Linked DNA regions of Rattus norvegicus. The protein of the gene in region 1 purifies or fractionates together with the protein of each later gene. This does not show direct contact. Links are inferred from orthologs where the notes say so. Each region holds a gene or a part of one and is shown in the gene's direction. Other genes may lie near its edges. The genes, in order: Bicd2 and Dync1i1.

What was found.
Region 2: the proteins of Bicd2 (region 1) and Dync1i1 purify together in Homo sapiens (affinity purification with western blotting; 4 studies listed by BioGRID and IntAct, with this or other methods). This does not show direct contact. The link is inferred for Rattus norvegicus from reciprocal best matches to the Homo sapiens genes BICD2 and DYNC1I1.

What each region holds. Positions count from the first base shown.
Region 1 is NC_086035.1:15,508,318-15,512,784, reverse strand, and holds the start of Bicd2 (protein bicaudal D homolog 2), read left to right. Parts: upstream 1-1,479; 5' UTR 1,480-1,569; coding exon 1,570-1,809; intron 1,810-4,467. UniProt on the Homo sapiens protein: Acts as an adapter protein linking the dynein motor complex to various cargos and converts dynein from a non-processive to a highly processive motor in the presence of dynactin.
Region 2 is NC_086022.1:35,109,350-35,113,157, forward strand, and holds part of Dync1i1 (cytoplasmic dynein 1 intermediate chain 1), read left to right. Parts: intron 1-1,512; coding exon 1,513-1,653; intron 1,654-3,808. UniProt on the Homo sapiens protein: Acts as one of several non-catalytic accessory components of the cytoplasmic dynein 1 complex that are thought to be involved in linking dynein to cargos and to adapter proteins that regulate dynein function.

The sequences.
Region 1 (4,467 bases):
GTTTGTTCCAAAACATCCTCCCTCACTTAGTGTGAAGAGCTTTGTGGGCCTGATATATGGGCCTCAGTGTAGAGCCAGGACTCTCCTAGCAAATTAAGCTGGTTGGCTCAAGAGAAAAGGTAACAACACGTGTATTTATACAACTCTCTCTTGTTTTTGAGACAGGGTCTCTCTATTTAGTCCTGGCTGGCTTGGAACTTCATATATAGATCAGGCTGGCCTTGAAATCCTTCTACCTTTGTCTCCCAAGTGGTGGGATTAAAGGTGTGCTCCACCACACAAAGTTTATTTACTACACAATTCTTGTGTTGGCCCTAGATTTTCTTTTAATCGTGTGTGTGCGTGTGTGTGTATGGTGAAGTGGGTTCATATTCCTGTGGGTACACACAGGCCCCACGTGCACTGGGAATCAGAGGGCCAGATCTAGTTGTCAGTCTTTGTCTTGCATCTTGTTTGAGGCCGGTTATCTTAGTTCCCCACCCCCACCCCCAACTTCATGCACTAGTCTAACTTCAGGGGATTCTCCAATCTCCACCTCCCATCTTGCCTTGGGAACATTGGGATTATAGACTGTGCTTTATGTGGGCTCTGGGGGTGCAAATATAGGTCCTTGCTCTTGCTGAGCAAGAGCTTTATCCTCTGAGCCTTCTCTCCAGCTGACCTCTATGTTTTATGGTGGTCCGCAGCTGTAGGGTGTGGTGTTGCGGGGGCGGAGGGTGTGCAGTGAGAAGAGGAATAAGCTTGTTATATCCAAATCACCATGCGAGGAGGGAACTTTTATTTAGACATACAGTGAAGAGTACAGCCATGTCCCGCCGAAAATCGGGGACAGACAACATTTAAACACACCTATGACATTATGCTCACGGAGGTGCTTTCATTTCTATGAAAGAATATCCTAACGGACAAAGGGACAAGAGGAAGGAAGTAGTATCCGGGTTTGGGCTCCGCTGAGCCCCTAGCGTCAGGTTGTTGGCATCCTTTTGGCAGTGCCCGCGGCCCGCCACAAGTCATTCAAATCCCGCATAGAGCGCGCGCCACACAGTCTCACCAACCAGGCTCTGACGTTGTAGGACGCGAATCTTATTCGTAGTCTCCACAGCTCAGATCGCCTTACTCTAGAAAGGATAGGAGCACAAGGCTGGAGGTTCTCCGGGTGGCTGCGGGGTCCTTGGGCTGGGGTCGGTGGCACCCTTACTGCTGTCACGTCAGCGGCGCCGGCCAATCACCGATTGAAGCCAGGCAGGCGCGGCACACAACAGGCCAAGCAGTGAGCGCACAGTAGGACTACATCTCCCACAATGCTAAGGGAGACGTAGCTTTGCGTCTCTTTAGGCTCATGCCCCCTTGAGATTTAGACCAATCACAGCCTCAGACCAGGTGGGCGCAAGGGACTGCGGGTTATGTAGTCCATGCTCAGTGGGACTGCAGCCCCCAGTGTTCCCCGCGCGTCAGGGAGGAGCAGTGCGGCGGCGCGGGCGGCCGTCGGGGCTGGGCGGCGGCGGCGGCGGCTAAGAGGGCCCGGCTTGTGGGAGCCAAGGTGGGAGCGGGCCTCGGCGCGCGGCCACCATGTCCGCGCCGTCGGAGGAGGAGGAGTATGCGCGTCTGGTGATGGAGGCGCAGCCGGAGTGGCTGCGCGCCGAGGTGAAGCGACTGTCCCACGAGCTGGCCGAAACCACGCGTGAGAAGATCCAGGCGGCCGAGTATGGACTGGCGGTGCTTGAGGAGAAGCACCAGCTCAAGCTGCAGTTCGAGGAGCTCGAGGTGGACTATGAGGCCATCCGCAGCGAGATGGAGCAGCTCAAAGAGGTAGTGGCCGGCTGCGACCCCTGCCTGGGGCTCTGAGGTCATCCTGCCCAGTGGTGGGAGGTACCAGGGGTGGGGCAGAAGACCTAGAGTTGTGGTCCAAGGCAGTGACGGAGAGTGACCATGCTCGGCCCCGTGCCCTGCTGCTGGGGTCTAGGCTCCCTGCAGCTCCACGTACCCGCTAGTTTTCTCTGCAGGCCTTAATAGTCCTTTCGTTGAGGACTGATGTCCTGCTATGGTTATTGCTGCCTTGGGTGTGTCTGTGTAGGCGGCGGGGGAGCAGACGATGCCCTTACAGCTGAGGCTGTCCGTGAAAGTGACCCCCTTGGTAAGGCTGAGCCTGGGGCTGGTTGACCACAGTCTGTCATCTTCAAGCAAATCACTGCCCCCCTTTTTGGAGCAGCTGCTTTCTGTGCTGTTCATCTGGTTTCATGACTGCCTGAGGCTGGGAAGGGATGGATACAGTGAGTCGCAGCTCCTGATTGCCCATGACCCTTGACAGGCCGGCTTTCCCAGTATCCATCGCATCAGTGTGACTTAGCTCTGGCTCAGTCAGCTGCTTCCCCCCCCCCCCCCCCAATCTCATTAATGGTGCACCCACTACTGGGAAGCATGGCTTCCATCGACCGCTTCCTGTCTTGCTCGGTCTCCTAGGCCCTGCCTGTCGCCCTGGAGTCTGCGTTCCTTCTGTCGGAACCTGGTGCTTTGTGTCATCCCACTGTAGGGAGAGAGGTTGGACCCCCCAGGCTGGCTAAGAGCTTGAGGGGGGGGGGGATGCAGTAGGAGGGACCTGGGTAAGCTTTCTGGGATGATTTAAGTGTTAGTGACTCTCCCATCCGTCTTGACTCCCCAGCCGTGTTCTGGAGACTGTCGGGGAAATGCTTTCTGGAAGAGGGACACACTTGAGTTTGGACCAACCCCCCCTTATTGCTTATGGGTGAGCTATGGGTGAGCCATGGGCAAGCTCTCCTCAAACCTTAGCTTCCAGCTCTGCAAAGTAGGAATACAGCTTTGCCAACCCACAAGTATTGCTCTGAGTGCTCTGCATTTAGAAAGGCCTGATGTGGGCCACACAGGTAGCTTTTTGGATTATCTAAATGGTTTCCCTTCCCTGTCAGACTCAGTTCTGCTCTCGGGTGTTAAAATCACAGGCTCATCTTTGGATACTTCTGCTCCCAGCCAGCTTTGGGTGGGTGCCTGAACTCTTTAGAGCCTCTCTTCTTTTCTGGGGGGGAATGAATCCCTAAAGTCTGGGTAGAACAGGGCTGGGTGAGTCCCAGAAGTGGCTGCTTCTGTGGGAAGGTAGGAATTGAGTCTTCCCACAGAATCTCAAGTCTGTTGTCTGTCAGAGGACATCAGTTACTTTCCCAAGCCTGGCTCCATCCGCAGTGGGTTGACAAAAGGAGGGGGATGGGCAGCCCCCCCTGGAGGGGGAGGGGACAGTCAAGGTGATAGATGAAGGTCAGGACTGTGAAAATATGGAGTGGGTGTATCCTCTTCCCAAATCTAGTCTTCTGTCTGGGGCTTCCCTTCCCCCCTCCTTAGTGCTCCAGGCAGGTAGCTGCACCCTTTAATTACAGTACCACTCCCACTGCACATACATATGGGTTGCCTTCCCACTTCCTGTGGAATGCCTGTGAACCTCTCCTGGGAAGCCCACTCTCCTCCTCTGAATTAGCAGGTTTCTTTCAGGGGCATGTGCTGTGAAAACTGGCTGTTGGTGATCTAGTCGGTCCTCACTTGGGTGACTTCTGTTGGTCAGCCTCCTGCAATTGTTTTATGGGCAGAATCATTTTATGACTCAGTGAAGAACAATGGTGGCATACATGTGGCCTTCTCTGTATCTGGAGGGAAACCTCTGAGAAGATGAGGAAGAGGGTGCGATCTATTCTCTAGGTGCCCTTTAGGTATCTGCTTAGTCTAATGCCAGTCCCACACTGTATAGGCTTGGACAGGCTGCTCCTCTCCCATTTGTGAGGTGGGATAAGGTTTCTTCCAGAAGTTTCTGGTGGAGTCCAGAGGAATGCATCAGCTTCAGAGAGTGTTGCCAAAAGTTTGTGCCAATCTGCCTCTTGTCAGCAGATTGTTCCTCACACCCATGCCAAAGCAGGCTCTGGTCAAACTCTTTAATCTTGGTCAGTATTGTATTTGAAATACTAACTTCTACTTTAAAAAAAAAAATGAAGATTTAAGGAGACAGCGTATATAGGAAGTTTTCTCCCCATAGAGAGGTGAACTGTCTTAAGTTGTTTGCTCCTTTAAATGTGGTAGATTTAGTTACTAACAAGTTAAGTTATGCTGTCGTCGAGTTGCTTGTGTGCTTGCCCGAGTTTAGTCATGCAAGCCTTTGAGGTGAGGAAGCCGTCTGACCTGGGTGAAAGGGTTTACAACCAGATCCCAGGAGAGCTTGTGCTGGTGAGCCAACTGAGCGTTGACCCCGCTGTCTTTATTTCTGGGAGAATGGCTATGTCTTGCTTACAACCATGGCCCGGGTGTTGACTGAGGCTAGAAGTGGAGAGGAGGCCTCATAGCCTGTTTTGCTGATATTGTGTGTCTAACTCAGTAAGGGCCACATCTGTCCCAAGTCTTTCTGCGCCTCTTCTGCTTATCCATCATGGTGGGGAAGAGGACTAGATGGACTCTTGCCAGCCTGTTCCTGGT
Region 2 (3,808 bases), on another chromosome or scaffold:
ACCCATTGGTCCATCTACCATCTGTGTTGTGTTAATGTAACTAAACTTCGTTTGCATCAAACCAGGGACTTTTAAATGTCCAGGAAATGCAAATAATGGGAATAAGTCAATTATAGTGACTCCCATAATAAGTCGTTGCACTCTGTTTCAGTTAAAGACCTGTGGGTTTACAGTGATTTTCCTCATTCCCATTTCAGCGCATGTACTTTGGGCATCTCTCATTCACAAGCCCCACACATTGGCAGTTCTTGCTGATATTTGGAGCCGATTCCCTACAGATGTGTTCTCTGAATATCCAAGGCAGAAAGGATTTGATTGTTATATTGTATGTTATCTTTTCTTGATCTTACCACCCTGGCCTGTGTCGGCATTCCACAGAGCCGGAGAAGAGAGTTCAGACAGCTGACTAGAGGAAGAAGACAAAAATTCCCATTGTTTAGATTTCTGTCAGAGGATATAAGAATAGTTAATTTCTTTTATCTCTGGGGCTTTCATTATCATTTAAATTTCATTTTACATTAATTGATCAGGGATTAGTAAAGCCATTATGCAGAAATTAGAATAAGACAAGCCAGATGGAATGAATAATTCATAAAGTCCAATTACGTTTTATTTCTGGTGTACTTTCAAACTTGCCTCTGACTTCTGTGCTATTTTGATGTGACAATATTCGCTGGAAATCAAGTGTGCCATTTTAATTTATTATATCCCTCTGGAGTGGAGGCATTTGTATGCAGTGGAAGAATGTTCAGTGTTTCCCCTCAGAACATCAACTTTAGGGGTCTTGGAAATCCTTGGTGATTTAGAAAGGATGTCATATTTTATGTGTAAGTTCAGAGGTTCTAGAATGAGCTACATTGCTCCACTTGGTTCGGGCGAACTAACCCCACCCCATAATATGGAGGCTACGGTCTTAACTAGATAGATTTCCACTTTCTTGTAAGAGCTGAGACCCGACTTTAAAGGTATTTGTCCCGTTTCCTTCGCCGCAAAGAAAGAGTTAAAATATGAATTTGGCCTGCAGTTTGACTAGAAGAAGCCACCGTTGCTGCAGCGACAAGGGAGGACCACGAGGTGGCAGACGTTGCCTTCGGTGCAGAGTCAGGGTTGCCAGGGACCGCCCGGGCTTCGGAGCATCCCAGCGGGTCCAAGCCCCTCAGCCCACTCCTGGGTTCAGGCTCCCAGCGACCTGCACAGCTTGGCCTGGCAAGAATTCCGAGCTAATGGCAGTCGCGTCCACCTGTCTGGAATGTCGCTTACAACTGTGTCTGAAACCGCCTCGCTCCGCGGGTCCCGGCCCCGGCCCATTCAGAGTCACCCCCACCCCCGGGGATTTATTTATGCCACTGGACAGTTGTAGTCACATTAAAGCTCCGGTTCACCTTCTCGAGGACTTTCATCTCGGGAAGTTTTATGACACTTGGTGAATGTGCAAAGTTTTTAATTAGGCTCTCTAGACAGCCCGAGGCGGCGGCAGCGCCACTAAGTCTTCACGGTCTCTCTGCTTTACAGCACAACAAGCCGCTCTACTCCTTTGAAGACAATGCAGACTATGTGTACGATGTCATGTGGTCCCCCGTGCATCCCGCGCTCTTTGCCTGCGTGGACGGGATGGGGCGCTTGGACCTCTGGAACCTCAACAGTGACACCGAGGTGAGCAGCAGGCTCCCGGGCCCAGGGCTGGGAGGGGGCACCCGGGCCACTCTGCAGTCTGATTCTTCCTGGGGAAAAAAAGACCTGCCTTTTGTGGACAGACCCTCCAACAGCCTCTGGGCAGCGTCCATCGCCCCCACCCCCAGCCCCCAATTCTTAACTACTTGGAAGGGAACTAGCAGATGTATTGGCCAAAACTCCATTTCACTTCATTCCTAAACTGTAGCAGATCTTAGACAGTTACTGACTCTGGTTCACACACACCTTCCCCACCCCACCCACGCCCCCAAGAGCACAAATTGTGTTCACACTTTTCCCTGAGGGGAAGGACACATAGCGTTGAAATAGCTTTATTGGCAGACTTGGAAAAGTAAGATTTTCTGGGTGCCGTCTTTTTTAGATTGGATTATTGAAATGAGGTTACCCTGTCGACGCTGGCTATTCGTACCATTTCTGTTTTGACTCCATAAAATATGATTCTCTACACGACTTTCTGTTTAGATCTGCCATCCATTTGATTTTTGCTAAGGAAATATTCCTTGTCTGCGATATTGAACTCAAAGGCAGTAGTGTCTAAGTTGAAACATGTATGCAAAACTCAGTTTTTAAAATGGGATTTTTAACATGTCACATTTAAAGTCATTCACGAGTGAAAGATGCCTATTTCTTTAAAAGAAAAAAGTTGATAACAAAATGATTACTTTTAAAGTGTATTTTATTTGCTTTGCTTCTTTTCTTTCAATCCCTGGGAAGTACTGAGGGTCTAATTCAGAGCCTTAGGATTGGTGTTGTTGACAGGGAACATGTTTCATGAATATTATGTGTCCTAAAAATGGCCTCTGCATCACTTCTTGGTTTTTGGTTTGGGTACAGATATGCAGGTAAAGAGTGCATGATACAAGGTACCTGTCAAGCAAAGCCAGTCTTTTGAAGAGCTTGGGACAGGAAGTCATTCAGCCTTTTTAATTAAGGATCCTAAGGCTGGAGGACATAGAGGAGAACAGGAGACTAGGGTTTTTTTTGTTTTTTTTTTTGTGGGAGGGGACAGGGAAATTTCCTTCAGGTGGTGTTGTGCCTGGGTGCTTTTAATGGCACATATTTCTGTAGCTATCACCAGGCAAATGTATTTCCATCACAGCCATTTTTTTTTCTTTTACCTCCAAGGACTGTGGGGGAAAGAAAGTTACATAATGAAGGTATCTTTGAAAATCCTCAGAGGGCAGGAGTGAGATGCCCATCGTTTGGGATGCTGAAATGTTTATAACATCATTGCGTTTAATAGTGAGATGCTATTACCTTACGTTGTAATGGTTTCCCAAAGTCTTTCATCACCGTTGATTAAAATCATACTGCTTCTATTTGCCAGAAGAAACTCACTCTAAGCAACCAAAAAAACAAAAACGCTTTCCAGATTGACTCGGGAGCGTGCTATATGAGAAAGCCGGCCAAGCCGAGGTGATGTTTTCATGACACCCAGCTCTGGTGCATAGGAAGGGATGTAGTGGTCCTCACCTCCTTAATAACCTCTCTCTCTCTCTCTCTCTCTCTCTCTCTCTCTCTCTCTCTCTCTCTCTCTCTCTCTCTCTTTCTTTCTCTCTCCCCCTCCCTCCCTCAAAGTGATATCTTGACATTGCCTTCACTCTCTATAGGTATCAAAGAGAGAAACTCAGAGTAGTTTTATAGTTAACATTTAAAACTTCACGGCCGGTCATGCTTAGAGTTAAGATTTATGATAAGCGCTCTGGCTTCACGGCCATGGTAAAAGCACACCAAGGCAGCCTCACTTCCAGGACCTCACAATTTCAAACCCTTTCTTTCTTTTTTTTTTTTTTCAGGTTTAAGTCAGATTAGGAAATAGATTTTAAAAGACTGAGGGAGCCTATGTTCCCTATCTGCTTTGTTGTTCTTCAAATTATTATACTTTTAAACCAAGTTGTCCCCACCCAACCACCCCCACTCCTCTGCAAAAGAAACCGACTATTTACCCTTGATGGGACCGACTCTTCTTAGTAATTTATGCTATATACATCTTGTATTTGCAATTAAAATGACTGTGCCATAAAAACATGAGAATACTTATGAAATCAAAGTTGGAAGTAAGACACATGAAAAGAGCATGCAGATTATTTTAATACAGATTTTCACATTTGAACTT